2 linked regions of the Arabidopsis thaliana genome follow. The protein of the gene in region 2 interacts with the protein of the main gene of each other region in a pairwise test. Each region holds a gene or a part of one and is shown on either strand. Other genes may lie near its edges. The genes, in order: UAP56a and MOS11.

Region 1 (16,399 bases), 2.9 Mb from region 2:
CTATCTCGTGCTCTTCCTTTATGGCTTTTATTTTTTATCAACTTCTTAGTATTACTCGGGAAATCTCAACAGGAAGTTTTACAAGTTCAAGTGGGAATTGTTCTTGACACTAATGCGACATTAGCAGCTTTGAGCTTACGAGCTATCAACATGTCTCTCTCTGAATTCTATAACACTCATAATGGCTTCAAGACGAGGATTGTCCTCAACATCCGAGATTCCAAACGAACTGTTGTTGGTGCTGCAGCTTCAGGTACTCTTCTTATCTTTCGTTATGAACATTCATCAGTCATGTATGAAATTTGATCTTACATATATTAACGTACTATCTTACAAAAAACAAAACATGGAAAATTTAATTTTTCTATACATATAACATATTATTACAATTCATTTCAGATAATATTCATTTTTGATTTATTTTTTATAATTTTATAATTTTTATTAAAATTTAATTTTTATTATTACAATTTATAATTTTTAAATTAGTAGAAGTATTTTAAATAAAAACTAGCTGGCGATCGCAGCAAGTTGAGCTCAAAGTCCCACATATAGTGACTTGAACAATCTCAATGATTAACGAAGGACTAGTTCTTTCTATAATCGTCAACGTTGTCTAAGAGCATCATTATTGGTTGTCTCTTAGATTAATTCTTAGGATAAGAACATCTCCTTTTAACTCTTATATAAGAGACAAAATGACAAAATGTCTCTTATATAAGAGTTAAAATGAGATGTTCTTAGTAATCAATGACCAAAAAAAATCCTACGAACTAATCTAAGAAACAACCAATAATGATGCTCTAAGTCTTCTGATAGATCTAAAGATCCTTGTCTTAGGAAGTGACTGTGTTGTCTAAATTGGCAAATGATGAGTCCTATTGATTCGAAAGTAAAGATCGTTCCAAAATCAGCAATAATTTAAAACATGAGAAAATCTATATATTTTTCATGAAATTCAATGAAAGAGACATCAAAATTAAAATAGATCTAGTATATAAGAATAAACTGGAATTCTAGAATTTTATAGTTAGAAAATAATAGTGTTTGACATGATAGATTTGTATATCATGTATTGAATTTGAAGGCAATTTGAATTGGATCCCACGGATCAAATCTCAAGTCCTCTCTACATCATATTTTATAGAAGCTATGTTTTAGTCATTTCTAAGCACATTTTGAGAAATGACTTCTCAAATAGGAAATATTAACTTAAACTTTGCAGCTTTATACTTGATAAAGAAGAGGGAAGTGGTGGCCATTATAGGACCAGGGAATTCAATGCAAGCACCATTTTTAATCAACCTCGGAAATCAATCTCAAGTTCCCATAATTTCATTCTCTGCGTCAAGCCCTGTTCTTGATTCTCTCCGTAGTCCATATTTCATCAGAGCTACACACGATGACTCATCTCAAGTGCACGCCATTAGCGCCATCATAGAGTCATTTAGATGGAGGGAAGTTGTGCCTATTTATGCAGACAATGAGTTCGGAGAAGGTATTCTTCCTTACTTAGTTGATGCTTTTCAAGAGATCAACGTTCGTATCCGATACCGAAGTGCCATATCAGTCCATTCCACTGATGACCTAGTCAAGAAAGAGCTTTACAAACTAATGACCATGCCCACTAGGGTTTTTATCGTGCACATGTTGCCTGATCTCGGATCGAGGCTTTTCTCGATAGCAAAAGAGATTGGTATGATGACTAAAGGATATGTATGGATTGTCACAAATGGTATAGCTGATCAAATGAGTGTAATGGGGGAATCAAGCTTGGAGAATATGCATGGTGTCTTGGGCGTCAAGACATATTTCTCAAGATCAAAAGAGCTAATGTATCTTGAAACTCGTTGGCGAAAAAGATTCGGAGGAGAAGAGCTAAACAATTTTGAATGTTGGGGTTATGATACGGCCACAGCACTTGCAATGTCAATTGAGGAAATCAGTAGTAACGTAAACATGAGTTTCAGTCAGACCAAAAGAAACACTTCAAGAGATGATACTGGGACAGATCTTGATGATCTCAGCTTTGCTCTCTCTGGTCCCAAGCTTCTTCAAGCGTTGGCAACAGTCAGTTTCAAAGGCGTTGCCGGAAGATTTCAGCTAAAAAACGGAAAGCTAGAGGCGACGACTTTCAAGATAGTCAATATAGAGGAAAGTGGGGAAAGAACAGTTGGATTTTGGAAATCAAAAGTAGGACTAGTGAAGAGCTTAAGAGTGAATCAAACAGGCATTAAAATATCACACAGCTCGCACCGCCTTAGACCGATAATATGGCCAGGGGACACTATTTTTGTGCCTAAAGGTTGGGAATTCCCAACAAACGCAAAGAAGCTGCGAATAGCAGTTCCAAAGAAGGATGGTTTCAATAATTTTGTGGAGGTAACAAAAGATGCAAATACTAATGCTCCAACGATCACCGGGTTTTGCATAGATGTTTTCGACACGGCAATGAGACAAATGCCTTATGCTGTCCCCTATGAGTACATACCCTTTGAAACTCCTGATGGAAAACCCCGTGGAAGTTATGACGAAATGGTTTATCATGTATTTCTTGGGGTAAGTTACATATTGATCCCTAAGTTTTTTCTTTTTTCTTTTTTTGATCATAAATGTAAATTATTAGCCGAAATCATGAGACCTTTATAAAACTTTTTCTTGTTCTTACAGGAGTTTGATGGAGCAGTAGGGGATACCACAATCTTAGCTAATCGGTCTACATACGTAGATTTCGCGTTGCCATACTCGGAGACGGGTATTGTAGTCGTGGTACCCGTCAAGGATGAGAGGGAAAAAGGAAAATGGGTCTTCTTAAAGCCTTTAACAAGGGAGCTCTGGTTCCTCACTGCAGCTTCTTTTCTCTACATTGGGATCATGGTTTGGATTTTTGAGTACCAAGCAAGTGGTGATTTCAGGAAACAGAGCATTATTAATAAAATATCTAATGTGTTCTACTTCTCATTTTCGACTCTCTTTTTCGCACACAGTGAGTTTTTTTTTTTTTTTTTTTGTTGTCACACATCTTCAGCTTCTAATCATTCCAATTACTTGCAAATCTTTGAAAAAAGAATCTGATATAACCACATTTTTTTATAGTGAGGCCATCGGAGAGCATTTTCACAAGGGTTCTTGTGGTAGTTTGGTGCTTTGTGTTGCTTATTCTGACTCAGAGCTACACAGCAACATTGACATCGATGCTGACGGTTCAAGAACTTCGACCAACAGTGAGACACATGGATGATCTGAGGAACAGTGGAGTTAACATTGGATATCAAACTGGTTCCTTTACATTCGAAAGGCTGAAACAAATGGGTTACAAAGAATCGAGGTTAAAGACTTATGATACTCCTCAGGAAATGCATGAGCTTTTTCTTAAAAAGAGCAGCAATGGTGGTATTGATGCTGCATTCGACGAAGTCGCTTATGTCAAGCTTTTCATGGCTAAATATTGCTCAAAATATACCATTATCGAGCCTACCTTTAAGGCTGATGGCTTTGGCTTTGTAAGTAAACCTGGTTACTTTTATCTAGGCTTTGAATAGTGGCAGAGGATGGGGCGGGACTAGTACAAACCGCTTTTAGCTACCACTAAAAAGTATTGGTCTATAGCATTACGAATAAAATATAGACTCTATCCATGCTACGAAAATATGTTCAAACCATCGAGTTTGTTCTTAATATGATTTTGAAATGTGTTTTTGGATCTCCATTTTTTTTGTAGGCCTTTCCATTGGGATCTCCTTTGGTGCCAGATCTTTCAAGACAGATCTTGAATATAACGGAGGGAGAGACCATGAAAGCTATAGAGAATAAGTGGCTCCTCGGAGAAAAACATTGTCTTGACTCAACCACATCGGATTCTCCAATCCGGCTCGATCACCACAGCTTTGAAGCTCTATTTACGATCGTCTTTGTTGTTTCTATGCTTCTACTCTTAGCCATGTTGGTTTGTAGAAGATACCGCCAAGAAAGCAAAAGCGGCGAGATCAATGCTAATAATTCGCCAACAGATGGTAACATGAGAGCTCCACCTAATCAGCCAACAGATGATAACATGAGAGCTCCGACTAGTCCGCCAATTGATGATCAAGTCCTTGAGCCACCTGGTCCAGCATTAAATGAAGCCGATGATCAAGATCAGCTTCTGAATGATGAAGTTAATGTTGGAGATCGAAATGAAGTAGATATTATTGTGGAAGTCGACCCAACTTTGGTTCACCGTAGAAATCTGATCACCTCAAAAACAATACCCACCCGAAGAGCTGCACTATTCTCGAGGATTAAGTCTGCATAGGCTCTGATCGTAGTCTTTCTGAATGAACCTAATTATTATGTTCTTTTGCGTGTTGTTTTTTGAGTTTTTTCTCATGCAAAGGCAACAGACTTGCCTCTTAAAAAGTCAAAAGACAAATAGGCAAGGACACATTGACTCCTTCAAGTTGCCTTTTTCCCCTAACCATTGTTCCTTGGATATAAACTTTTCAATATATAAAGTAACCATATATACGTGTTGTATCTCTTCCACACTAAATGAAATGTGTTATAAAAAAAAAGCATCACATGAAGGAAGTAACGCTGATGAATGACGATTCTTAGCAACACCATGATAAATTGATAATAGATCGATTCCTAAGGAACACAGTAATCAGGTCGAGACTAAATCCTGATATTTCAAACATAATAATCTCTTGTACAAAAAACTGGACAGCTTTTAACTGTGCGATTTGGAGAGTGACTCGAATCTCCTTTAAAGAGTACAACAGACGTTCTAAACATATGGAAAAAAATGTCGTCATAGAAAACACTAAAACAAACGGAGCGAGAGATAGTTGTGAACCCCCATCACCCTTCGAACACCTACAAGGTTGAAATCTGAAGAGCTTCTTTCCTGAGGGACGTGCTACTTGTTTAAGAAGGCACTGAACAAAGAAAGAAGAAGAAACAACATTAATATCACAACCAGACAAAACCAAGCTTTTAAACAAACAATTGGTAAGGGATTTCACACTTACTGTAGGTTGAAGTATCAATCTGCTCCGGAAGTTCCTTTATATCAACCTCAAACCTCTCTTGTACCTGTCCAAGATTTATAATTGCCACTTTACTAAATATCCAACTCAATTTCAAGAGGAGTTTTCCGTGGACTTATTACAAAGATTGAACACCATACCTGGTTAAGAACCTCTGAATCTGAAGCAGATGCAACAAATGTGATTGCAAGACCCTTGGTTCCAAATCTACCAGCTCTGCCAACCTATACCATACACAGCAAAACGGTAAAGTTACAAGAGCCCTTTCAGTGAGATCAACAATCAAATAATAAATTTCAGTATTATATACTTACCCTGTGAAGATAGGTATCAGCAGAATCTGGCATGTCATAGTTGATGACAATGTTGACACGCTCAATGTCAATCCCTCTTCCTACCAAGTCAGTCGCCACAAGGATCCTTTTGTGCCCTTCCTTGAAACTTTTGTATCGAGTCAACCTACATAACATATCGTATTAGCCTTAAGAATTGGACTCCTCTCCATGAGGGCTTTAAGAGCAGGTAGGGTCCTTCAAAAACATTGAATTTTGAAGAGAATGTACAGACCTCTCTTCTTGAGACATTCCAGAGTGGATGCATATTGAGGGGAAATTGCATTCCACCAGTAACTTGTTCAGCTCAGCAGCCCTGCTCACGCTCTTCACAAAAATGACAACTTGATTGAAGTCCAACGCATCAAGAAGGTCATTCAACTTCCGGTTTTTCTCCATCTCGCTCAGTTTGATATAGTGCTGTTACAGTATGACAGTAAAAGGTCTTTTAAGTATCAAACAACAAACTATATTTCCATTGAATAAGAAGACCTAACACCAGATAAGAGTACCTGGACAAGCCCATGAAGAGTCAACTTGGCTTCATCATCGACATATATTTCCATTGGCTGAAAGGAATAGATATCAGGTAATAATTAGCAAGCTTTTCTCAGGAAATGATTTACACTACAAAAGTGAAGATGGATGTAAAACCCCTGATCTGAGATCCTCGTCCACCAGGTTCTCTTCATAGATGTGAGTTTTGCTATGATACAGCGATATTGCTCGGAACATTAAGGCCCATACAATCACAATGAAACCTTGGGACAACACAGTACCCCACCCAAAACCCACCCAGCACTGCTAGAATTGCAAAGAAATTGAAACTGAATAAAAGGTAATGACGAAAGAAGATCCTGTTGTGCAATGGTCACTCATTCATACCAATGCTACAGAGGCTCACACTCACAGTTCTCGATCCCTACAAACTACCCAAAGCATTAGTGGATTGAGACCCATCGAGAGATCAGTTGCAGCTTTTCCAGGGCAGAACCGCAGAAGATGCCCAAATAATGCTATAATCACCCATAGAAACCATACCAAAGCTACAGAGTCTCACACTCACAGTTCTCGTTCCCTACAAACTACCCAACCATTATTGGATTGAGACCCATTGAGAGATCAGTTGCCGCTTTTCCAGGGCAGAACCGCAGAAGACGCTCAACTAATGCTATGATCACTCATAGAAGGCTAAAAATAGTTGAAAACTAGAAGACTTGCAAAGGGAGAGAGAATTGGCCATGGAACATTACATCTTGCATAAATTTTTTGCAGACTGGGCGTATCTCTTTGCTGAGCGTTGCTGAGAACATCATTACTTGTTTGTCATGAGGAGTCATCTTGAAAATCTCCTGCACATCCCTTCGCATGTCTGGTAAAAAAAAAGTTAAAGTGTTAAAACATAAAATTATTCAGGGATCGATGTAATAATGATGTCAGAAATCAGCATACCAAGTGACTCGAGCATTTTATCACATTCATCAAGAATAAAATGCCTCACATTCTTCAAAGAGAGATCTTTCTCCCTGGCAAGTGCAAGCACCCGACCAGGGGTACCAACAACAATGTGAGGACATTCATTCTTCAGCAAGTCTTTGTGAATTTTAATGTTGACTCCACCATAGAACACCGAAACCTTTGTATCAGGCAGATAGGTACTGAATCGCACAAACTCATTGCAGATCTGCAAGTAATTGTCAGCATCAAGGCAAAAAGCATTAGAGGAAGAAGACGTACAACAAAACTATAAGCCAAGAACCTGAGTGAAACAAGAAGGTCATACCTGGTAAGCTAGCTCTCTTGTATGGCACAAGACAAGTGCAGAAACCTGGCCAGGAGATGGTTCAATCTGTTGTAGAGTAGACAGGACAAACACAGCAGTCTTCCCCATACCAGACTTTGCTTGGCAGATGACATCCATGCCCAAGATAGCTTGAGGGATACATTCATGTTGCACTGGTGGAGAACCAAAGAAAATTGTACCGAAGAAAGCCTTTATAAGTAGATGATAACCTCCATATCTTTTAAATTGGTGGCTTTAGCACATGTTTAAGCTCACTCCAAACCAATAGATTGAAATATCGTTTATTACCTGGAAAAAGTAATCAGTGAAACGTTAATAAACAAAGAAAACAAAAACCATTATAACAGGAAATAAAAAAGAATTTGACCTCAACACAAACTTTTTTTAATTTAGTTAGATGATAAGCAAAGGACCAAGATAAAGTATAAAATATCTTTAACCAACATATCTTCTCAAAACTAGACGAAGTACATATAATTAAAAGTTTCCGGACAACTAAAACATCTTATGGAGAAGTCACTTCTGTAAATTATACAATATCATTCGGTAATAGAATGGTGAAAGGCAAGGCAGAAAAGTCAAAGGTAGGGTGTATTTCATTGTAATAACCTTCAGATGGATGTTCAAATCCAGAGTCAACAATAGCTCTGAGAAGCTCCGGTTTTAAAAGGAAGTCTCTGAATCCAGAACTGTGTATTCCCACGTACCCTCTGTCACAAAGAGAAAATACAAGATGATAAACACATGACCGTCTAATATTGGGTAGGTTCCAGGAATTTTAGCATTGAAGAACTTAGTCAATTGTCATAAAGTTAAGCAACTAACCAAACACATAGATAATTGAAGAACTTAGTCGGTTGTTATCAAGCAGTAATCTAAGAAAACCCTAAATTTAAACATCCACTATCTCATGAAACAGATCGAGGAAATCATAAAACTCACTTTTTCACGGCTTCACCGTTAACTTTGTTTCCAGAATCTGGGACCTTCTCGTCTTCTTCTTCATAGTCCAAGAGCTCCTCCTCGTAGGCTTCGTTGTCTCTAGCGTCTCCCATACTTCGCAAATTCAACAAGCTGCAGAGAAATTTCGGGTAAGATTCCAAATCCAAAACATTAACCTAAGATTCAGTAGGAAAGCATCTTCCATTGGAACTTTGGATAAGCAATTGAGTTCTCGAGCGAGAATTTTACCTGAGATAAGGAGCAGAGTTGGTTGGATCTCGAAATCGACTAGGGTTTCGAAATCTCTGACTGAAGAGAATGAATCACCAACGCCGCGTTGGTGTCGTAAATAAATATATACAAGGAGACTGGATAGGGTTGACAATAAGCTTTACTTTAATGGGCCTAAAGTTTTTATTAATCGGCCCTTCTGCGCCAATTATTATCTAAGTTTTTTTTTCTTTTTTTCTTTAGTGGGTTCGAGTCAATTTAGACAATGACGGTCAGGGCTCGTCTTGGTTTAGTGGGTTCGAGTCAATACGAACAGAACAGTAGAGCACAATAGATAACAAATTGGTTTAGTTAAGATATTTCATTTCCCTTAATAACAATGTTTTTGTTTCAAGGACCCAACAAAATTGTAGGCCCATTAATTAAAACAAAACCCAATTTAGACTGAGTTCAACCATATCTTTCACTCTCTTTGGAATCGTTTGGACGAAGCTCAGATATTTTTACTCTTGCAATTCAGAGATTTCGAAACCCTAATCCGATTTCGCGATCTAACCAGCTCTGCTGAGTTCTCAAGTTATCCATCAGACTCTTCTGTTTATTAGCAAATAAAGCTTTGTAAGGAAAGCCATTGTGTACTTTCACTTTTATTGTTTTATAGTCTTCAATAAATAACACATACAGTAGTTTGCTTATGTAATAATTTGTATCATGAAAACTTTATTAACGATTTTCAATTTATAATTTGAAATCAGTGAAGTAAGTTGTTAAGTTTAGGGAGAAACAAAGAAAAACTTGCAGCAGTGCTGAAGCAAAAATATGGACCAATATTGCAGTAATGAATAGTTTTGTCGTAGAATACAACCAACTTTATCAGTGCTCAGTAATATCAGCATTAAATTTAGTAAACCTACTAGTTGTACTTTTTAGATTTCCCGCATAAATTACGAACGTATCTTTACCCTTTTAATGATTACAGTTATTATAAACTGATTAACATGAGTTAGTGATCCATCAGAAATTCCACCAAACCGGGAAATGTAAAGACTCTTTTCAGTATCTCGGTTTTTTACCAACCACTGCCGTGGAAAGTACACATCAAAATTCAAAATCTACAGAGATCAATAAACGAGAACGAATACAAGAAGTTGGAACCCTAGAAATTTTGAAAAAAAGAACATGAACTCTGCAGGGAAAGAAAACTGAACCGGAAGTAACCGGTATGTATCCTAACAGAACTCATCTAATCCACTAGGCTCCACCAACACATAAAGCGGCTTCCCTTTGAGCTTGTGTTGCCCCTAAAAACAATTCAAAATTTTCACAAACTCAATGAGCAAATTTGAGTTGAGATTATAACAAAAAAACTAACTCTATCACTACATTTTAGAAATCATTTCAAAAGAACAAAACCAGAGATAACTTCTTAGACAAGTAAGATAAATGTGACTCACCTTGACTTCAGGCAAGCCAATAACACAAGCACACTCAACAACTTCAGCTCCTTGGCTCTCTGTAAAACGTCAAACTGTATCACATTACAATTCAAGACCAAAAAATTCTCTTTAAAAACTGAAAAAGAAAACAAGAAGAAAGAAAGAAACCCAATAGGCTCATTGCGGCAGAAAGAGTGCCGCCAGTAGCAACAAGATCATCAATGATAATGACGCGTTCGCGTGGCTCAACAGCGCCAACATGCATCTCTAAACGGTCATGCCCATACTCGAGCTCATAAGACTCCGATATCACTTTCCCTATATTTTATAGTTTCGCCAATTTTTCAGAATCTCAAGAGCTTCTCTATCACAATAACCAAAACAGATAATGCAGTAAAAAAACCTGGTAATTTTCCTGGTTTACGCAAAGGGATAAACTTTGCGCCGATGGCTAATGCAATGGAAGGACCAAACAAGAAACCTCTTGCTTCAACTCCTATATAATACATTTGGATGTAAACAAACATATTAATTTCTTAATGAAGAAAAAGACAATTCTTGTTTCTCCTTTTTTTAATTGTCTTTTGTTTGCTTATATGATGTAAACCCATTTTAGAAAGACACATAGTTTTTGGCGTTACTTAACAAACTTGATGACGAAACACTGTAGTAAAGAAATGAGAGGATAAGGAAGAACAAAGGAAAAAAAACAGAGGAGTCTTACCAGCAACGACAGAGATTTGCATGTCTTTGTAACGATCTACGAAGATATCAATTGTGTGTTTAAACGCCTTGTGATCCAGTAACAACGTAGTTATGTCCTGAAACATAATCCCTGTCCAAGAAACAACTTCAGAGAATTGCAAAAACAGAACAAAGAACAGAAAAAACAGAGGAACAAGAAGTTTTAAAGACCTTTCTTAGGGAAATTAGGGACAACCCTAATGGCTGCTGATATAGCTTCAAGCCTTGGATCTCCTTTGAGACCATTCTCCGCCGCAAACATCTTTTCTCTCTCTCTTCTCTTTCTCACTAAAGTTTCAATTCTGAGAGAGTTAAGGAGCGTCTTCACTTGTGTGTATTAATCTCTCGCACTCTCTCTCTCTCTTGAGAGAGTAAATGGGGAAGAATTCAAAGTAGGAAACAAATAAATTTCCCTCGCAGAAGAAGGAAATGAAATGAAATGAGATCAGATCTTCTCTCTTCTCTCTCTCTCTCTATGTCTCTGTCTCGCTCTGTTCCTCTGTTCACCACCAGTTGTATAGAAAGTGGGTGAGAGAGCATTTAATATTTAATAGTAGTGGAGAAGAGTGTGTGTACCACACGCGCGAACTGGGTCGGCACACAGGTTTTTATGAACCGCAATAAAATCACAATCACAAGCGTTAATGGATACTGTATTAAAGAGAGTGAAGAAAGATCCGAAGAAGAAAAGAAAATCTTATGGATCTTCGAGAGAATCTTTTGGCCTTTAGCTCTTTCTTACTAGAGTCTCGATCAAAAGACCTATAAAGGAAAGAGATTCGATACTCTGCCAAAAATAAAAAACATTTTTCTATAAAAAGAAGTACCCATTCTCCTAAAACTAGTTCACATTCCATGTTTTGTGTCTTGTCTCCTCCATACACAGCTACACTTGCCTCTCTTTTTTTTACTATATTAAAAGTTTTGTGAACTGTAATGTGTATTAAATAAGTTTTTACAACTTTATATTGGTAGGCGTAGGGATAATAGATTTTGGCTGTTAATGTTAACCAAAATCGCACCTAAAACCGCACTGCAACAGTGCTGTAACAGTATCAAAATCTCTACATATGTATTTTCGTTACTATTTGAACCGCACCGCACTTCTCCCGCACCGCAAAACGCAGTCACCATTCGGAGCCTTTGTGTTAGTTTTAGTTACCTCTTTTTTCCTTAAATCGAGGTGTTTTATATTTCTTGTCTCCTACATTACACTGTTTGTGTTTGTACGAGTACTGATTTTTGTAGATTGCGTTTATAACATTTAGATAGTAGTAGTACAGGTTTTTATGTGAATTCAAAGCGTAAGTAAAAAAGTACATGGGGAGCAGATCACCGAATACAAATAAATCAGCAATAGAGTCAATATGCGTCCAGAATTGAGTGGTACATGCCAACTTGTATAACAAAATTTCTTTTGTATGGTACGGGGTTAGTTTTGAATTCAGGTTTAAGATATAATCATATAACTCTATAATTTAGTTCAGCTCTATATAGATTAGTAAAGGATATAGAATAAATTTTAAATATTATTTTTAAATACGTGTGAAAGATCTAGACTCTTCTAATAATTAAAACGGGTATAAATAAGAGTTCAATAAATAAAGACCCAAAATAATTGCTAATATGTAAGAAATTAGCATAATGGATTGGTGACTTCATATATAAGTGAAGACCATGTTTTTGAGAAGTTAAATCATACCCCTTTTCATGAGCAATTTCAATTTTAACGATATATGTTAAAACAAAATTTCATGTCAGAAATGTGAAGTACTGATTTGAAGTTTGTGGCTTTGTGCTAGTTCACCGAAGATATTTTATTGGTATCTTCTATGCTTCTATGAAAATTCTATATACTGCTCTGTTTGCATGGCACGAGGCCGCCAAATACACAGTTCAAGAAGTACTAGCCTCGTGAAGCATGTGTTTATTACGATTTCCTTAGCCCATGTTAGGTCCGCCTAAATGATTTCTCGACCTCAAAAACCACTTAGCTTCCAAAATAAATAACAAACGTATAATTACAAGTGAAACTTTTTCAAAGTTCAAGATTTTGTGAAGTTAACATCTATATGATCATAGTTCACAAGAATTCCACTATAACAAGTATTGTTTTGATTCAATTTACAGTGATGTCTTTCATGCTTCACTAGAGAACATACAAAGAGACTTCACTTAGGAATAATCTTTCTCCGATAAAGAAAAACTCAAACAAGCCCACTACATGAACTATGCAAAGAAACAAAACAGTCCAAACAACACTTGGGACAATAGAATTTCAACTAACATAGTATTTTTCTAAAAGCTTACAAAATTCTCTTAACACAGTTTTTTCTGTTTGTTTTTTTGTTAAAGCTAGCATAGTATATATCTAAAAGCTTAACCAACAAAATATTTCTAATGATGTAAATTATCTAGGTCGTGTTCTAGATAGGTATATTGTTAATTAGATCGTTCCTCCACTGATTACATTTAGAGAATATGAGGTAGATAAGATTTAAGGTGAAAAGCAAAAAAACAAAAACAAAAGTCTATTGTATAGTTGGGAGGGTAAATGAACCTCGTACCGAGAAACCCACCACAAACCTAAAGGAAAAAAATTGAAGTAGAGAGATAGAATAACAATAAAGTTACAACTTCGAGGAGATATCCCAAATCTCGTTGTCTAACTTTATAGCTTTATAACAAAAATCATTCACAGCTTTTTTACACTTTCATTTGACTTTTGTTTATACAGGGATTTATTCCAACTAGCTTCATGATGGGCGATTATACTACTGCTTGTTTTTTTTACCCATACAGAAAATAGCCCAAGAGTTTCTGTATATATAGGCCCAAAAATCCTAAAAATAAAATAATGGGCCTTGTGATATCAAATTTATATGTAAGCCCAAGAGTTTTAGATTGAGGCCAGATATTTTTGTTGCGCCTGATATTTTCAAAATTCAACTTTTTTTTTCACTGTAAAGCGGGCTTCTCCGATATCCTAATTTCAATTTGTAGGGTTCCTCAAAATCATTTCAATAATTCAATTTCAGATGTATGGTGATGCTTCTTTGATTACAAATCGGCGTTGAACAATTCTCCGATTTTACACTCTAATCGAATCACTTTGGGGTGTTTTGTTAATCGCTGTTCTCAAGATCTGAGATTTACAGGGAGAAGTGAGCTGGAACAAGGTGCCGGAGTAGATGGCGATCATATTTGCGTTGGTGGCTCGTGGAACGGTGGTGTTATCGGAGTTTAGCGCTACTTCGACTAACGCTAGCTCAATCTCGAAGCAGATTTTGGAGAAGTTGCCTGGAAACGATAGCGATAGCCATATGTCTTACTCTCAGGATCGCTACATCTTCCATGTGAAACGAACAGATGGTCTTACCGTTCTCTGTATGGCCGACGAAACCGCCGGAAGTAAGCTGCTTCTCTCGCTAATTTCATCAATTTTACATGATTTGGCTCTTGTATTTGAGTGTCTTCGATTTCTGCTGAGATCTTATATCAATTCTGGGGGATTTGATTGTTGTTTCAATAGAAAGATGCTGATAATTTTCTGGGAGCAATTTGGTGATGTTAGGTTTATGTCACTTATGATTTTGCTCTGATGTTGCGGCAGGGAATATTCCGTTTGCGTTTTTGGATGATATTCATCAGAGGTTTGTGAAAACATATGGCCGAGCTATTCATTCAGCTCAAGCTTATTCCATGAATGATGAATTTTCAAGAGTTCTGAGTCAACAGATGGAGTTTTATTCCAATGATCCTAATGCAGACAGGATGAGCAGAATCAAAGGTGAAATGAGTCAGGTAATGTTACAAAATCATCTCTTTTTTGAAGTCTAAAGTATATGTTTGATATAGCCTATTACGACACATACATGGACATAATGATTTGCTCGATACTTTATGCAGTATTGTAGCTTTATTACTAACTATTACTAGTGACGTTGATTTTGTTTTTCAGGTTCGAAATGTGATGATTGAGAATATTGATAAAGTTTTGGATAGAGGGGAGCGTTTGGAGTTGCTAGTTGATAAAACCGAAAATATGCAAGGCAACACTTTTCGTTTCAGAAAGCAAGCTCGTCGTTACAGAACCATTATGTGGTGGAGAAATGTCAAGCTTACGTAAGTTTTCTGATCTAAAATTCTTCCCAACAAACCTGTTTACCTGATAAACTTGACGAGACAAAAACTAGCAATTTCGTGTTGAATTGATAACTACATACTGTATGTTTGAAAATATATTTTACAATTTTACATTCTTGGTGGAGTTTTTGTTGTTGGTTTTCTCTGCTCATGATGCTTGTTATTTTTCTGCAGAATTGCTCTGATACTTGTACTAGCTTTGGTTGTGTACATCGCGATGGCCTTTGTTTGCCATGGGCCAAGTCTTCCTTCTTGTTTCAAGTAAGAAGACATTCTCTTATCTTCTTCACCTTTCCCTTCTTGGGAATTATCAGACTCTGCTTCGATTTTGGAATGTGAGATTATATGCGTTTGTCTAAAATGTGTGTTTATGTGATCTTTCAATTTCAGCTTCTGCTTATTGCTTTGAATTACAGAGTCGATTATTTATTTGTAAGTGTGATATTTCACTGTTAATGATCATCCCCTGTCTGTTTGCAATTTATGCTGCGGCGTTAAAAGTTGTATTAAATGATGACGTTTTTAGCTTTTGCTTGATCTGTGAAGAATTTTCCAACTTATTAAGTTCTAGTCACATGGTGAAGAACTGAAGATTGGCCACATGGAAATTTGGTGTTTGACTAACATATTCAATCGAAAATTGAATCAACTTATATTATGGTGAAAGTTTTTCATCTTTTTGTATCTGAACAAATCTGAATCGAAAAAAAGTCAACAAAATGAAAAAGAATCTGTTTTTTCATTCAACGAATAAAGACGAGTTCTCTCTATACAAAAAAAAATCTAAACGCAAAAGACTATTAAGAAATACAAAAACTTCTTCACAAAATGTCCTGAAAAACAGATTGACCTTGAAACTTCTCGACTTTAGATCTCAGAAACACTAATCTCTTATCAAGGCACGTCCGTTTCATCTCCAGCGAACCCAATTTCCCTGTTGTCTTCATTAATTTCTCCCTAAACTCTTTCATCTCCTTCTCTTTCTCTGCAAGCTTCTTCAAACTCAGTTCCATTTCTTGCTTTGCAAGCAATAAACGGTGCTCGCCGGCCTTTTTCTCCATAACTGCCATTTCGCATCTGTCAAAATACCTTGTAGCTTCAAGAACCTCCTCAAGAACGGACCGGAGCCAACCTACTCGGATCTTTGCCGTTTCTATGTCATCAACGATTGCTAGAATCTCAGTGGCCCGTGATTCAGATAACCGACGTAGAGGCGTTGACTGGAGTTCGATAACAACCTCCGCTAGTGTCTCGAGGTGATATGTTCGTGTGGAGAGTGATTGGAGCTTGGAATTCGATGTGATGTCTCCATACTTGTCGAAAATGCTTTGAAGAGTGGAGGAGAGACTAGCTTTGACTTTGTATTCTCCGACGGAGACAACGTCCCACGAATCAGAGGTTGTGATCACAAGAGCCTTGTTCAATGGAGAAAAAAGAAGCTCAGGGAAGAGTAGAACAGAGTCTTTGTCGTTATCATCATTGAAAACAGAGTATGCACTGTTCCAATGAGGAACATGAAGTTGAGAGATCTCTGAACATAAACTCATCTCTGTCTGTTACTTAAGAAACACAGACAGAAGGAGAAAGTAGTTGAGTTCGAGAAAGAGAAAGCTTTTTGTTTTTTTTTGTTTGTCACAAGAAAGCTCGAGAGAAAAGTATAAAGTTCTCTTGCTCTCTTTCCATCTATTTAAAGGTTTATTTCAAAGGCTTTGAGTATTGTATTTTTAACGATAT
Region 2 (16,399 bases):
TCTCTCTATCTCCCACCACCATCGCCGCCGCCTCGGTGCAGTCCTCTCCTCTCCGACCCTTTTCTCCCTCACTCTCCGCCACCTCCTCTCTCTATCTCTTCCTGACAAAACTCACCTCATCGCCAACCATCTTCTCTCCCTCCTCCATCCTCTTCTCATCCACCGTAAACACCACTCCTCCTACGCCGTCACCATGAAGCTCCGGGACCTAGACGCGGTGGTCCTCCTCCTCTTTCTCTGCGAAACCCACCAGCTTCATCCAGATGTTCTAGAAGCTTCCGCTGATAATTGGCGGGAAATTCTCGGTAATACGTACTCTAATAATATGTTAAGTAATAATTCCGGTCTTTGGACTTGCGATGCCGGAATCTTGATGCCGTACATAGAAACCCTAGTTAGATGCAAAAGATTTGTTGACATAATGGGAGGCTATAACCATCTTCGTCGAAGAGATCAAAAAGAAGGCTACCAAGTTCCAGCCGCTAGAGCGGCTGTGGTGGCGTTACGGGCGGTTGAGGTTTTCAACGTCGCCGCTTCAAACGCCGGAGAAGTAGAATGCGTGATATGCAAGGAAGAGATGAGCGAAGGAAGAGATGTGTGTGAAATGCCATGTCAGCATTTCTTTCACTGGAAGTGTATCTTGCCGTGGCTAAGCAAGAAGAACACGTGTCCGTTCTGCAGGTTTCAGCTTCCCACCGACGATGTCTTCTCAGAGATCCAACGGTTATGGGAGATCCTCGTCAAGAGTAGCGAGTTACACGTGGCGTAATCTCAGTTTGCGGTGATGGGTACATGTGTAAGAGGAACTAAAGAAGCCTGTACATCGTAATCTAATATACTATGTAGAATAATATATCAAGTAATTGTCATAGATAGGAATGTTTGGACCGTTTTGATATATCGAAATAGTTTATATTTTGAGAAAGACACATTTGTGTTAATAGTACGATGAATTTCGTAAATATGTTGTAATAGAAACCAAATTAATAGTGACCAAAAAAAATAAAATTAATTGTTTCATGTATATGAGCATTGGTTTCAATCATGTATTTGTTCCCATATTCTATAGTCAATCGGTGGGAAAATGAAATCAAAAGATGACATGTCGACAACAAACAAAAGATCGCGTTACAATTTTTTTCCCCATATCACCATCCATTGATGATTTCACGTTGCTCTTCAGTCTCGGGACTAATGGGCTTAAATACATTTTTGAGCTTTCTATATTCGGGCCTTACGTAGCCCAATACAAGTTAGATAATTTAATGGAAGCTTGCTTTACATTCTCAAAGCTGGGCCGATTCTACCAGGACAAATAACGGTTCATATAACTAACTATGATATAAATATCATAACGAAAATAATATCTAAATAAAGTTTATTTTGATCAAATCAATCAATTAAATAGTGTTGATCAAAAAGTCATGTGCATCTATTCTATCGTGAAAACTGGAAAGTCACGAAGAAAAACAAAAGAAGATAAATATTCTAATATTAATAATATTATATAAGATTCGAAGAGTATTTTTCTCAACAAATAATTGAACAAATCATCAACATATCTATCAAACTACCATCGAAGGTTTTGAGATAAATAGAAATGTCTTGAATCTTGATGAGAACCAACTAATAGTTGCACACTTGCACGTAAAAATTGCGCTCGTCAAAATGAAAATACGCGATTAAAACAAGTGATTCCTGGTGAACGCAGATCAAACTGTCGAAGTATAGCTACTTCGATAATTTGTATGTTTTGACAGTGGATTCGATGATATATTCTCTTGTTTTGAAAACAAAGTTCCAATATTGTTATTAACGTAATAACGGTTGGTCTAATTCGCAAATCCACAAATTTTATGTAGCTTACTGTTAATAATTAATATAATATACATATGTAATATGTGCGTAGTTTTTGGGGTATGAGCTATAAATAAAATTCTAATGTATTAACTACATGTACATAGAAAATATTTTTTTAAATTGCAGAAAATAATGATGATGGATACTAAGTTGCAAGCTAAGATGAGAGATCTAATGAAAGGTACAAAATCAAAGTGATAATAGTACGTCCAGATACAATTGCAACTAGCTAGATAACAAAATCAAAATCTAATATTATATAAAAATTTTAGTTAATTGCAATGTGATGAGATGATAATTGATAAAGTACTACGACAATACGAAGAACACTAGTTACTAGATAGATAGTGTTGTGATAATATGTCAAGGTTTGGATCGACCAGACAATATGGGACCTTCACGATGTCTGTCTCATGTTTCCTGCATGCCATGCATTCTATTTACTCTCGTCTACTCTACGTGCCCACGTCTCCACTTTTATTCATTTTCTTATTTGTGATCAATCAAACCTAAAGAAAATGTTAGGCTAAATTGGATCTGTTTTCTTATATATCGGTACGCTTAAACACATATAATTAGCGTTTAAAGATTCCTTTTCTTAAAGGTAGGTTCAGTTTACTTGTAACCTAGGTTTCTCGAAAGATGAGATGTACTTAAATGCTCGTTTATATTTTACTCCAAATTAAATACTGTAGTTGATAACATCAGTTTTCAAATTAGAGACAGTGTCGATGCGAGTGCATTCAATTTTCTTATTAATTGATAAAACCATATTATTCGATTTGTTTTATTTCTTTCTGAGGAGGTTTGTCTTATACTTGCATCGATGCATGCGATGTAAACTTTGTAGAAGCAATTCCAACCATGGATATCGCAGATACTGAAGTAACTCCATAATCAATCATTTACATATCTATCATATACATTAATATTGAAAGTGTTTTGATATTGGTATTTCTCTATATGAAAAAACAAGACAACCCGAGACATTTTAACTTCAGATTATAGTGTGATATCGAATACCAAATTGACCTTTCTATCGAAGATAAACCTTAATATAGATAAAGACATATAGTTACTAAAGAAGTAAGTTAATGAATGTTGAATAAAAACACCAATGGTAAGCTAAATATTAAACAATACAAAAGAGAAAACAAAGCTAATAAGTAAGAAGTAAGAAGCTAAAGAGATAGACTGACATCCATGCTCCCTCAACCAAAAGACAAAACACAGTGCATCAATGGCCCAGCTGTCACCACAACTCTTTTTTTTTTTGATATAGGAACTTGTTTTGTTTTCTATTCTATAATATTTATTTATTCTTCTTTCTTGTTATCTTTTTAAATCAAAACGATCGAGACTGAAGTTGTTCAATTTTTTTCGTAATAAGGATAGGAAATTAATTAAGGATAGAGAGCACATGAAAATACACTGTATGTACTGTAATGGTGCATTCAAGGACCCTTCAATACGTTCCAAGGCCACATGTGATTCTCACAAAATGGTTCAATATTTATGAAAGTTATTTGTGAATATATGTTAAGATAAAATGTACCTGGACCATTCTTTCTATTTGTATTAGACTATCTTACACGTGATTTTCTTACTCTTTTGATTTGACTTCAATTAGATCTATATATTGCATCAAACTTTTTACCAAATTATGCGTCAAGTCACACCAATTGATGAGGTTGGCCTTATCGAACTAGTGGAACCGTCATATGCGAAACCAAATATAAGAAATGAATGAAAGACCTTTCAACAAAATTAATAAGCAAGTAGAAGTAAATCCAATATCAATATAACAATTGGTTAAACCTAAATTATATGCATCCAATACGAAAATTCTTTTTTTGGTATCTTTTAATCCGTTTATTATATTTGTGGAGCCTAAGTTGCGGATCCACTTGTATTCCTTATTTGAATCATTGTTATCATTTCTCATTGTTTGTGACTCGTGAGCTAGAAGAAACAAAAACAAAAGGATAACGTAATTTTGATATTTAAAGTAAACCACTATAAATCATTGTGTGTGTGTTTTTTCTTGTTTTAAAAGATCGAATTAGGGAGCCTAACATGTTTTTGTCTCAAGAGATTATTATCATTAAAAAAAACAAGTGGAAGTGGAAGTTGTGTAACCCACTTGTTGAATTCTTAACTTCGAAGCACAACAAAAAGATAGACGAAAAACGAAAACTCGATCTAACTTCGACATATGCATTAGATAACATATAGAAATTTAAACAATCTCGTTGATGAAATTGGTCTATCAACACACGACAGTGGTTCTCTCTACAGTAGCATCAAATCGGTGGATCCTTATGAACAGAAAAAACGAGGAGGGACAGAGGAAGGCCAATGAGGGGTCATGCAAAATGGAACTTAGCAAAAGTACCAAAAAGATCCATCCTCTTTGAAAATTCATTTCAGCCCCATAATTATCCATGACATGAATTTCGATCTGAATCTCACAACAAGTAAGAGATCAGCTTTTGATAACATTAAAGAAAAAGGTAAAAAAAAGAAAGACGAGAGACTGAGAAAAGGGCAAAGACCTGTAGGGGTTAAGACAGCTAAGAGTGTTCCTCAGTCGCCCCACAAATGTCTTCTCTCCTCTCTCTTCAGTCTTTCTCAGCTCTCAAATCTTTAAATGGTTCCAAGTTCAATGCTCCCAAAACCCACGCCCACACATGCATCCTATGACCTTTCCTTTTCTATCCATTTTCTTCCCACAAATTACCACTTTGCAAACAAAAGCCAAAAACTCATTTACAAGATGAGTTAATAAAGACACTAACACACAACCAATGTGAAAACAGACGTTTACATGAGATATTGTTACCTCTAAGAAGTCATTAATCATATAATGAGAACATTCTTGCTTCCTAAGTTTTTACAAGATTATTAACCTCTAAGAAAGGAGAGACACTTTTAACGCAATAATAACTACATGATGTTATAAATATAGGAGAGAGTAGAAAAGAATATGACAGCCCTACTAAGACAGAGAATCATCATCGAACAGTAAAGAGGAGAATCTCTGAATATCCACTTTAAACTACTGCCCTCTTGTCTTAACTCTCAGAACCATTTAATTTTTCAGTTATTTTGACCCATACCCTTTTTGGCCTCTTTCCCTGCTTTCCAACACCTTCACACTTACTCTAGGGCTTCCACGGCTATATATATATGGTCCCTTCCTTAAACTTGTATCTCATAATTCACAACCAGCACTGCTACTACTAGTTTATCATTATTCCATCAATTTATTCTATATAGAGTTCTTCTCTGTTTATATTACGATATTGCTCGAAGATTACATACCTGAGAAAGATGGTTAAACCCTGTTGGAGAATAGGTGCCGGTATGGAGAGAAGTAAGATCAATCCCACAAAGGTTGATGGTTTGACATGGTACAAAGATCTTGGTCTTCACACCTTTGGAGAGTTTTCCATGGCAATGATCCAAGCCAACAGTGTGATGGAGGATCAGTGCCAGATCGAATCAGGGCCGCTTACATTCAACAATCCGACAGTTCAAGGCACATTTGTTGGAGTTTACGATGGCCATGGAGGTCCAGAGGCTTCCAGATTCATTGCAGACAACATCTTCCCCAAGTTAAAGAGTAAGACACCGACTTTTTTTATTTCCTTTATTGTTGAATCTGCCAGGCACACTAACACTGGTCTCACATGAACAGAGTTTGCGTCCGAGGGTAGGGAGATTTCAGAGCAGGTGATCAGCAAAGCATTTGCCGAGACAGACAAAGATTTTCTCAAGACAGTGACGAAGCAATGGCCTACGAACCCACAGATGGCATCAGTGGGGTCATGTTGCTTGGCAGGAGTGATATGCAACGGATTGGTGTATATTGCAAACACGGGAGATTCCAGAGCTGTGTTGGGCAGATCTGAGAGAGGTGGAGTGAGAGCTGTTCAGTTATCTGTAGAGCACAATGCCAATCTTGAGTCTGCGAGGCAAGAGCTATGGTCATTGCATCCTAATGACCCCACCATTCTTGTGATGAAGCACCGCTTGTGGCGTGTGAAAGGCGTTATCCAGGTAAACATTCATACATGATAACGCATCTGATAACCTGCACAGAGTTTTGCTTCATCAGTTTCTATGAAATACAAAAGCTTAAGAAAATCATATATTGAAGCCTATCTTGTGTAAGGATGTAAAACTGACTAGCAAATGTGTTATGACCTTTAACCAGGTCACAAGATCCATAGGTGATGCATACCTCAAAAGAGCAGAGTTCAACAGAGAACCTTTGCTGCCCAAATTCAGACTACCAGAACATTTCACTAAGCCAATCCTTAGTGCGGATCCATCAGTCACCATTACGCGGCTTAGCCCACAAGATGAGTTTATAATTCTTGCTTCAGATGGGCTTTGGGAGCATCTTAGCAACCAGGAAGCTGTTGATATTGTGCATAATTCCCCTCGACAAGTAAGTTCAATGCCTAACCCATATACAAATACGTTACATACTAGCACAATGCACACCAAGAACTATTCGTTAATACTAATACCTTCACAATCACAGGGAATAGCAAGGAGACTACTTAAAGCTGCATTGAAGGAAGCAGCAAAGAAAAGAGAGATGAGATACTCAGACCTAACAGAGATCCATCCTGGTGTAAGAAGGCATTTCCACGACGATATAACCGTTATTGTGGTCTATCTCAACCCCCACCCGGTCAAAACCAATTCTTGGGCTTCACCTCTGTCAATTAGAGGGGGATACCCGATGCATTCAACATCATGAACAGATCTTACGGCAAAAACACTTCCTGTGTCAAGGGCAATAAATTGGAGCCAGGGTCAAGAAAAGAACTAGTAGTATAGCTAGAAACAATATTAAGTTATGAGATCTTTGATATGTTCTCCACAAGAAAACATGAATTCTCATGTACCCCTGTATGCAAAATTATACACGAGGGTACTTGCATGCAATATCATCAATGTCAACGCTGGTAAAATTCGAAAGCGTTGCAACATATTGGAGTTTAGGCACAAAACAGTAGATAGCCAAGAAATGTGTTGAAACTTAACATTACATTCCCTTTATAAAAGTTTTCTGGCGCTTCATTCAAAATTAACAGAAAGCAAGTATCAACAAAAGTTTATCTAAAATCTATTACAGAAACAAAGAAACTGTGTAGCATCAGAAGCCAGCAAAAACGCAGTCCCACGAACAGAGAATTTAGAATCTGAGGCTCTCTTTCCTTCAACTGCCATAGAGACCAGAGATATGGAAACCAACAAGTACATCTATAGTTCTAATGATGTCTTACATGACAAAGAAATTCTGAAGTAGCGGCTTGAGAGGTCATATGAAATTAAGTAACCTAAGAACGACACATGTTTATGGGATCCATTTTGCATGCAATATTCGCAATCAAGCACAGAACACCAGTAGACCAGCTAAATTTCGTAACCAAGACTAAGAAAAACTAGCAAAATAGGCACAACTCAAAAGTAATCAACACTTCTAATTTCTAACTAGTTCAAAACAGTAAAAAAATGTCTCCCTTACTTAAATATTTGCTGCATGCAGTACAAATTTTCAATTGCTGGTGCTTGTGCTTGATACGAACATGCAATACTAAAAGGACCATCCACATTCCAATATATTAAAACGAAATAAAGTTATTAATCAAACTATACTTACCACTCCAAGAACCTGCAACATGGAAAACATCAATACCAGCCACTTCAGAATTCCTAGGTCCTAAACACATTGATAATTGTCATTTCAGACAATCAGAACTATAGGTTACTTATTGGTTTCTCAAGATCTCATCTGGTGATTGCTCCACGACCGAACTTAGTAAAGATACTACACACATGGACTTCTAATTCAGAAATAAAGAGAGAATGAAGCAGCCAGAGAGGGACTCATAAAACGCTAGCACACTACCTGCCCATATAACAGATTATGGAGTCAAATACGAGAAAAAATCGTATCAACAAGAGTTTGCAATGCAATAAGAATTATCTGGAAAAACTCACCTAACTACAAAGACGGAAAAACTTTATTGAGGAACCTTAGGCAGCGCTTCCTGATACAGCTGCCTCCTGATGAAACAAAGAGTTCAACAAGAGATATCATTAGCTTTTCTATCAATTCTCTCATTCTATCAGATGGACGACACAACAGAAGTTAAAAGACTGTTTACCTTGCCAATAATTTGCTTCTCAGGTAAATCTGAAGATGCATCTGCTGAAGCCTCTTTTGAAAACCTAATGATGGGAAATTCACAAACCACAAAAATCAATAATTAGAAAGCATGGCACAGTACTTCAGTTCTCAGGGACTAGAAGAATTTGAGGTTGCATAGAAAAAGTACCTCAATGCTCTAGCTTTGCGCTTATTTTCTTCAGCAGAATCAACTTTAGTCTCTTTTCCAAAACGAGCGAGCCTAGCTTTCTTCTTTGCCTCTTCCTCAGTCTTATCAGTAGTAGAGGTCGCAGAAGGAACCCCAAATCTGTTCAAAATACAAAGCGAGTATGAAACTCCTTTTTCTCTAAACCCAACCAATAAACAACTATCAAGTACAAAGAAAGTATTGTGACATACCTATCAGCTCTTGCTTTTCGCTTCAATTCCTCTGCTTTCTTCGTTCCCTCTGAGCCATTCACCACTGCTGCAGCTACAGTACCAAACCTGCACCGAAGGTGAAATTCCTTACAACATAGGTTTGACAATAAGTATAAAAAATTCCGTAACCCTAATTTTCGAAACCCCTAAATTCGACGGAATCTAACGAATAAATATTAAAGTCTTTACCTCTCAGCACGAGAATTGCGCTTCTCCTCTTCGGTCAATTTCACCGAAACACCAAACCTCTCAGCACGTCGAATCTTCTTCTGGATATCATCGACCGGAGAGATATCCCCAGAATCAACACCAGCCGTCGATCCAATACCATTAGAGTCGGTTTCTTCCTTCTTTTCACCAGAATCTGAAAATCCCTTGACTTCTCCGTCGAGAATGTCGTCAGTACGATCTAACTCCGTAGTGTTGAGGTCTACAATTTTCTTAGGGTTTTCACCAGTAGATAGCCCTCCGCCATTCACCACCGTAGCCGTGACCTTCTCTCCGTTGGTCGCCATGGAATCGTAGCTCCGTTCGAAATTCGCACTTGTGGAGATTCGTAAGATATCTCTTTCGCGATTTTAGCAGAAGACTATTGTAGGGTTAGAGTCGAACCGTCGAGTCTCGGGGACTTTTAAAGCCCTTCGACACGAAGGGTAATATAGTCAGATTAAAACTTGATTCTTATGGGCCGGATCGGATCTAAATTATAGTCCGATACATTAAGCATCCGAAATAAGGGGCAATATTGTCTATTTAAACTTGCTTACAATCCGGGTCTGATCTAAATAGCCCGGCCCAAATAAAAAATAAAACGACATCGTTTCATAATTTCATTTTTTTATGATTTAATCTTCTCCACCACGTGACCACGTCCACGAATTATCGGCCGGCGAAGTAGGAATGTAGGATTGGAACTTTGTTAACATTCCCGTCTTGTTTCATCCGTTCTTGAATATGTATGATGTATGCATGTCTCGTTTCAACACTTGTTCCTCCTTTTAAGCATCGTTGCACTTTCTCTTAGCGCCGGATTACTGAGAACGAAGTTTAGTGTAATAATCAACCAAAGCAATCAGTGGGTATTACTCAAAGCATTTAGTAGATGTGTTTTAAGTGTGGATGAGATAATGTTTTGCAGACCTCTTTAGTTTTTGTTTGGTCGTTAAATGCTGCAAAAGAACTTAAAGATCTCCCAAACTTTCTTAATATATTTTTATGTCAGTATGTGTTATGTGTTTTGCATCTTTGTTTGACCGTTTGGTATATTCTGTGACTATGTGAAAATCTACAAAAGTCTTCTTACGATCGGAAAATATGAATACAAACTATAAAAGCATTTAGAAGAAAAAAGGTTTTTTAAAAAAAAAAGAAGAAAAAAAAAAGAAAAAAGGTTTCTTTGGTTCATTAATTTCACCTCATATTTCAAAATGAAATCTGTATAGACAATGACATGTAAAATTTTTTAAATTTAGATACGTTCAAAGAAAACATAAAATTTTGATTGTATCTTCTGATACAAATATTAGTAACCACTAACCAGAAGCTTAAGGTCTACCAGAAAAAGAAAGAAAAGAAAGGCATGAAAGAATTATAATATTTTCATATACAAAAAGAATAATTATTTATACGATACGAATTGAGCATAGATGATTCGGTGAGGTAGCATCCAATGGCGTGGTTCACAGACTGAGCTTTTTGACCAGCATTTTGTTTTTGTCCACTTGTCATAATGAAATTTCGACGAAAACAAAAATAGTTTTTTTCGTTGTGTGTGTGTCATTCCAATCGTATTATTATAACATTACAAGCATTACAAAAAGATATCACAGTAATTAACAAAAATAGTTCTTTCAATTGAAATATTTAGTCATCTACCATTTTTTCTTCTTTTAAACTCTTTTTATTTGATATAAAGAAAAATCATCACAAAGCAACCAAAAAAAATTAATATGATTATTAGTATTCACGTATTCAACTGATTAGACTTCACGTATGTGATTATTAGTATTCTCGCAAACAAAACTAGTAGAAGCTTTTGATCAATATCTTTGACCTTCACAACAAAAATTAGAAAGTTCAACGACAGAGATTAATCAAACGCTGACGTACGTTTACCTTTTTCTATTGGTAGTCACCATTGGGTAAGCATGAACCAAGCCTCTTCCTAATTCCTAATTCCAATTTCCATTGAGTATATATATAATATATATACGTAGTCTTATGTGTTTGATCCATAGTTCCTTTAAAACATCATATCTGCAATAATAATCCCCTGAAGAAACAACTCTTATCAAATCCTCTCCATGGCTCTATCTCCTCCGTAAGATCCTTTTTGTTTACTTTATGAGGTTTCTTGATTAGTATAAAGTCGTTTTTTCTTGTTAAATCTATATTCATCTCCTTGATTTTTTTTCCTTTATCAAGAAAAATTTTCGTAGAAGATCGTCAGGTTCCGCTCGATGCTACCTCTGATCCACCTGCTCTGTTCGACGGAACCACAAGGTTGTACATAAGCTACACTTGCCCATTTGCACAACGTGTTTGGATTACAAGAAACCTCAAGGTACTTGTTTTTTATATATTTATGGTATATATGTATGTAAATTGAGATCGAGATGAAAAATTTATAAGCAAGATTTGTTGATTTGTTTGACATTGGGGAGTTTTAGGGTCTGCAAGATGAGATCAAATTGGTTCCTATAGATCTTCCTAATAGGCCAGCTTGGTTAAAGGAGAAAGTTAATCCTGCAAACAAGGTGCCGTTTATTTTTATGATTAATCCTTATAAACTAATTAACGTTCTTTCAAAAGTGACAATAGAAGACTCTAAAAGATTGTGATAATGATGTATGTAGGTTCCTGCCCTTGAACACAATGGAAAAATCACTGGGGAGAGTCTTGATCTAATCAAATATGTCGATAGCAATTTTGATGGACCTTCACTTTACCCTGAGGTATGACCTTGTTGGCATGTTATAGACTTGTTCTTGTCATGTAAGTAACAATATTTCGATGAGATGTTGTTTTTTTGAAATTTTTGGTCTAGGATTCTGCAAAGAGAGAGTTTGGTGAAGAACTGTTGAAATATGTCGATGAAACATTTGTAAAAACTGTGTTTGGCTCTTTCAAAGGTGACCCGGTTAAAGAAACAGGTAAGGTTGATTTTCTTTTGTGTCTTGTCAATTGTTTTGGGCATCTGAAGGCTGAAACATGTGTGTTTTTGACGCAGCATCAGCCTTCGATCACGTGGAAAATGCTCTGAAAAAGTTTGATGATGGTCCTTTCTTCCTTGGCGAGCTTAGTTTGGTATATTAGTCTTATCAAAATGTTAAGTGCGAATGAACCTTTTTTGAATGTGTCACTATGGTTACAAAATTACTCGATTTTGTTTGCTAGGTTGATATTGCATATATCCCATTTATCGAACGCTTTCAAGTCTTCCTCGACGAAGTTTTTAAATATGAAATTATAATCGGACGGCCAAATCTAGCTGCTTGGATTGAGGTACACGTGTGATATATGCATGTCAACATGGTAAAACTTTTGTATGATTTAGCTGCATACTTGATTGCTTTACCTCAATGTGTGTGGTGCAGCAAATGAACAAGATGGTTGCATATACGCAGACCAAAACCGACTCCGAATATGTTGTCAATTACTTCAAGAGATTCATGGTAATTTCGCTTTTTATAAACGTTTAAACTTTTGTTTATTTGGACTCAAATGCCCTTTTTACTTTAATGTTAGGCTTTGCAATTTTGTCTTAACTCAATTTCCGGTTAACGTTCTAAAACAAAACTAACCGATTCCGGTTTTTCTTTATTTGCAGTAAAAGTAACAAATCTGTTGGACTTTGGTAACGATGCCATGATGGCTTATGAAGAAGAAATATTACTACTTGAGAGTGTTATAAATTTCTGGATTTGGTATTGTACATTTTGTGATAAATAAGAGATATTTGGTATTGTTTACTTTCATTCATCAAAGAGAGAGACATGGTTTATTCCGGATAATACAAATGTCAATAATAAAATGGGCTTAATACCTTATTGAATACCTTATTGAATTGTATCAATTACGGCCCATTATGAGTTATGGAGTTCCCGACAAAGATCACAAAACTGCCACGTGTACGATGATGACTGTAATTTCGAGAAACGTAAACGCTTCCACACAAAAAAAATCCGTAGTTTCTTCTACAGAATCAGATCTTTGTATCGTCAATGGCTCCTTCTTTTATGTAAGGATCTATGTTCTTATCCGGAATTTAGAGTCTTTATTGAGTTTGATCGATTTTGGGATTATAAGTTTCGCAAAATTCATGTTTTTTACATTAAGTCTATTCGATTTCAGCTGTATTGGGAATTTAAGTTTTTCTGTGGCTTGATTCTATTGAGACAGTTTTGTAGAAGATCGTCCAGCTCCGCTTGATGCTACTTCTGATCCACCGTCTCTCTTCGACGGAACCACAAGGTTAATCTTCAATGTTGCTTCTTTTATGCTTTTGGTTTTAGCTCTGTTCTGTAGTTTATTGGATTTCCCTTATGTCTTAACCTCTTATTGTTTTGTGTTACCAAAGGTTGTACACAAGCTACGTTTGCCCATTTGCTCAACGAGTTTGGATCACTCGAAACTTCAAGGTTTAACAGCTTCTCCTTTGTACTAGTCTCTCACCTTTAACAATATTTTGGTCGTATTAGGGATATTTGAAGCCGGATTGGTTATCTTGTTGAAGTTTGTTAATTTGACGTCTCACAAACTTTTATCTTTCTTGCATATGTGTACTCTATTTATAAAGTAGTTGGATTCTTTGGTTGGTTTCCGGTGGTTGTAGGGTTTGCAAGAAAAGATTAAACTTGTTCCTTTGGATCTTGGGAATAGGCCTGCTTGGTACAAGGAGAAAGTATATCCAGAGAACAAGGTTTTCTATTTATAACTCACGAGTTCATATGTGACATTCCACTTTTGGTTATGACTTAGTGGAAACTTCTCGTTATCTTTTTCAGGTGCCAGCGCTTGAGCACAATGGAAAAATCATTGGGGAGAGTCTGGATTTGATTAAATATCTTGATAACACTTTTGAAGGGCCTTCTCTTTACCCCGAGGTAACACATCCCTTATACCGAGTATGGTTTCCCTTCATTATTCTCTGATTCCACTATTCATTTCCCTCTCTAGGATCATGCAAAAAGAGAGTTTGGCGACGAGTTGCTCAAGTATACTGATACTTTCGTTAAAACTATGTATGTGTCACTCAAAGGAGACCCCTCTAAAGAAACCGGTGAGACTTTAAACTCTTCAACTGTTTTCAGGGGTGAAAAGGCGACAAAATTATGACCAAAAATTTCATGTTCTTGTTTCAGCACCTGTGTTAGATTATCTGGAAAACGCTCTGTATAAGTTCGATGACGGGCCGTTCTTCCTCGGTCAGTTAAGCTTGGTATAAGCCTCACTAACCTTCTTTGAGATCATACATTTCGCCTTTTGTTTGTCTTAATTCTTATATGGACGGTTTGAATTCTTTGTTTTTTTCAAGGTTGATATCGCCTATATCCCGTTCATTGAAAGGTTCCAAACTGTACTCAATGAATTATTTAAGTGCGACATTACTGCCGAACGTCCCAAACTATCAGCATGGATTGAGGTATATATATATGCAATCTTCATTAAGTCAGAAAAGATTACACTTATCCTCACTAGGGAATGGTACTTAAGCGATCGGTGTTATGTTTGCAGGAAATTAACAAGAGCGATGGCTATGCACAGACGAAAATGGATCCTAAGGAGATTGTGGAGGTTTTCAAGAAAAAATTCATGGTAAGTCATACAACTAGGATATAATTTTTTTAACTGAACTACCACATGATTTTAATGGATCCAAATGTGAGTTGCTTCATATTTTCTTGGGGGTTAGAACATAAAAGCTATATATGCCTTTAAGCATCTGGTTGTTTAGGTGTGAATGTTCGTTGCTTTGGGTTAGTTTTCTGTTTTGGGAATGAAAACCGAGTCGGTTTAGCATCTGGCTCAGAGACAATCTCATCTTTCTCCAACGAGCGTTTTGCGACTTAGACGTTTTGAAAGCAAAGACCATGCACTAATCATCAGCTAGCCTATTACTATGGCCAAATGACTTGTTTAATACTTTCTCGGTTAATGGTCTATACTAAATGTGAGTCTAATTCCGGTTATATTCTTGCAGTAACTGTAAGCAAGCACGAAGCAGTAAAGTGTATGAGACCAAACCACCTTGTACGAACAGGTGGTCTTTGGATATGAAGAAATAAGATGTGTACTTGAACCTGATGATGCAATAAGATTTGTACTTTAAGCAGCAACAGCTTAATCTGTATTCTAGTGTTGATCAAATTATCAACCATTGACATTGTTAATATATTACTGTATGATAGTAATACTATCAAAATCTCACACATTAAGAACCAGATGATGCAATAAGGATAAGGTGTATAGTTAACTTGCAGCAACAGCTTGATCTATATTTGACTGTTCACCAATAATCAATCCTTGACATTGTAATATGATATCAATACAATCAAAATCTCACACATTAAAGTTTTGAAAACTATAGTACTTTAATATTTATACAATAACTTTGGAATCGAAGCAGACATCCTCAGTACAATAATGAGAAATTGTCACATTTGAAAGCAAGCGCTCAATAAACATTACATTAAACAACATCACCTATAACAACATTATAAACCGGCCTCTATATGAATCTATCTCTTCTTACACATATCTACAAGTAGCTCTTAAGCCATACATTCACACTTAGTCTGAAAATCATCCACCTTTCCTCTCCAAGAAAGACAGCACGGAATGGGTTTAAGCTACATAACTTACACAGCATTGCGGTTCTCGGGATTATTTTCAGACCCTCTTTGATCTAGGTGGAGTCCCTGGAGCGAAAAGGGATCCTTGGACTGGCTGAGCCAGAGGATCAAACTTTTGGGAGGCGAGGTAAGAAAGTGCAGTGACGACGTCAGCAATGAGAGGTCTAAGATTTGGCTGCTCTTGTACGCACATCGCTGCTACAGCGAGTGCTTGGTATAACCCTCGCGGAGGGTATTGACCTTGAAGCATTGGATCAGCCATCTGAGAGAATTTCCTCCTGTCTTTAAACAAAGGCCTTGCCTGACATAGAGAGCATTTCAAAGAATACAATTAGAAGGAAGAATCCGCAGAGAAAACAAAGTTTGTTCCCAATTTGTTTTTTTTTCTTACCCATGCGACTAGATTCTGTTCTCCAGTAGATCTTGAACTGTCTATTGCTTTCCGACCAGTTATAATCTCCAACAGAACAACACCGAAGCTGTAAACGTCTGATTTGAGTGTTAGCTGGCCTGTCATTGCATACTCGGGAGCACAGTATCCGTATGTTCCCATAACCCGAGTGGACACATGAGACTTGTCCCCAACTGGGCCAAGTTTAGCCAACCCGAAGTCGGATAGCTTTGGAAAGTAATCATCATCGAGCAAAATATTTGAGCATTTCAAATCTCGATAGATCACTGGAGGCATGGTTTTGTCATGCAGATACTCCAAACCTTTTGCAGCACCGGCAGCTATTTTCATTCTGGTGTTCCAGTCAAGTGGCTGCTTACCAGGTGAAATGTCTGAAATAAAAAAAGCATCACCCGATTGAAATTTAAAGACTTCTCATAGGCATGTGTGATCTTAGAAGCGCATACCGTGCAAATGATCTTCAAGTGAACCTAGGGGCATGTACTCGTAGACTAGAAGCCTTTGATCTCCATCAGCACAATATCCTATTAAGTTAACAAGATTCGGGTGATGAAGAAGACTCAACATGAGAACCTCGACGAGGAACTCCCTGTTTCCTTGTAAACCATTATGATCAAGTTGCTTGATAGCCGCTGTCTACAAATGAAGATATAATGACAGTGA

What was found.
Region 1: the proteins of MOS11 (region 2) and UAP56a interact in a two-hybrid assay, tested with the Arabidopsis thaliana proteins (one study listed by BioGRID).

Annotation. Positions count from the first base shown.
Region 1 is NC_003076.8:3,545,156-3,561,554, reverse strand, and holds UAP56a (DEAD/DEAH box RNA helicase family protein), read right to left. Parts: upstream 8,460-16,399; 5' UTR 8,358-8,459; intron 8,241-8,357; 5' UTR 8,222-8,240; coding exon 8,109-8,221; intron 7,877-8,108; coding exon 7,776-7,876; intron 7,455-7,775; exon of another isoform or gene 7,319-7,454; coding exon 7,146-7,318; intron 7,047-7,145; coding exon 6,815-7,046; intron 6,735-6,814; coding exon 6,616-6,734; intron 5,932-6,615; coding exon 5,875-5,931; intron 5,783-5,874; coding exon 5,598-5,782; intron 5,490-5,597; coding exon 5,345-5,489; intron 5,255-5,344; coding exon 5,171-5,254; intron 5,077-5,170; coding exon 5,013-5,076; intron 4,920-5,012; coding exon 4,909-4,919; 3' UTR 4,537-4,908; downstream 1-4,536. Other genes in the region: GLR2.6 (glutamate receptor 2.6), read left to right, coding at 1-253, 1,226-2,559, 2,671-2,986, 3,097-3,503, 3,722-4,294; APT5 (adenine phosphoribosyltransferase 5), read right to left, coding at 9,569-9,640, 9,794-9,852, 9,944-10,093, 10,179-10,271, 10,500-10,610, 10,691-10,781; VAMP713 (vesicle-associated membrane protein 713), read left to right, coding at 13,711-13,930, 14,133-14,323, 14,481-14,644, 14,840-14,926, 15,056-15,074; AT5G11140 (phospholipase-like protein (PEARLI 4) family protein), read right to left, coding at 15,487-16,212. UniProt on the Arabidopsis thaliana protein: ATP-dependent RNA helicase involved in pre-mRNA splicing. Required for the export of mRNA out of the nucleus. In addition to ssRNA and dsRNA, binds dsDNA, but not ssDNA.
Region 2 is NC_003076.8:620,184-636,582, forward strand, and holds MOS11 (Protein MODIFIER OF SNC1 11), read right to left. Parts: upstream 9,098-16,399; 5' UTR 8,986-9,097; coding exon 8,660-8,985; intron 8,537-8,659; coding exon 8,450-8,536; intron 8,358-8,449; coding exon 8,220-8,357; intron 8,113-8,219; coding exon 8,049-8,112; intron 7,948-8,048; coding exon 7,918-7,947; 3' UTR 7,882-7,917; intron 7,790-7,881; 3' UTR 6,851-7,789; downstream 1-6,850. Other genes in the region: SGR9 (RING/U-box superfamily protein), read left to right, coding at 1-769; AT5G02760 (Protein phosphatase 2C family protein), read left to right, coding at 5,194-5,485, 5,561-5,922, 6,080-6,316, 6,413-6,634; GSTL1 (glutathione transferase lambda 1), read left to right, coding at 10,774-10,790, 10,895-11,033, 11,140-11,226, 11,326-11,424, 11,517-11,622, 11,700-11,776, 11,867-11,974, 12,067-12,144 and 1 more; GSTL3 (Glutathione S-transferase family protein), read left to right, coding at 12,694-12,710, 12,872-12,943, 13,050-13,110, 13,305-13,391, 13,477-13,575, 13,649-13,751, 13,834-13,910, 14,007-14,114 and 2 more; CDL1 (Protein kinase superfamily protein), read right to left, coding at 15,362-15,625, 15,716-16,107, 16,183-16,372.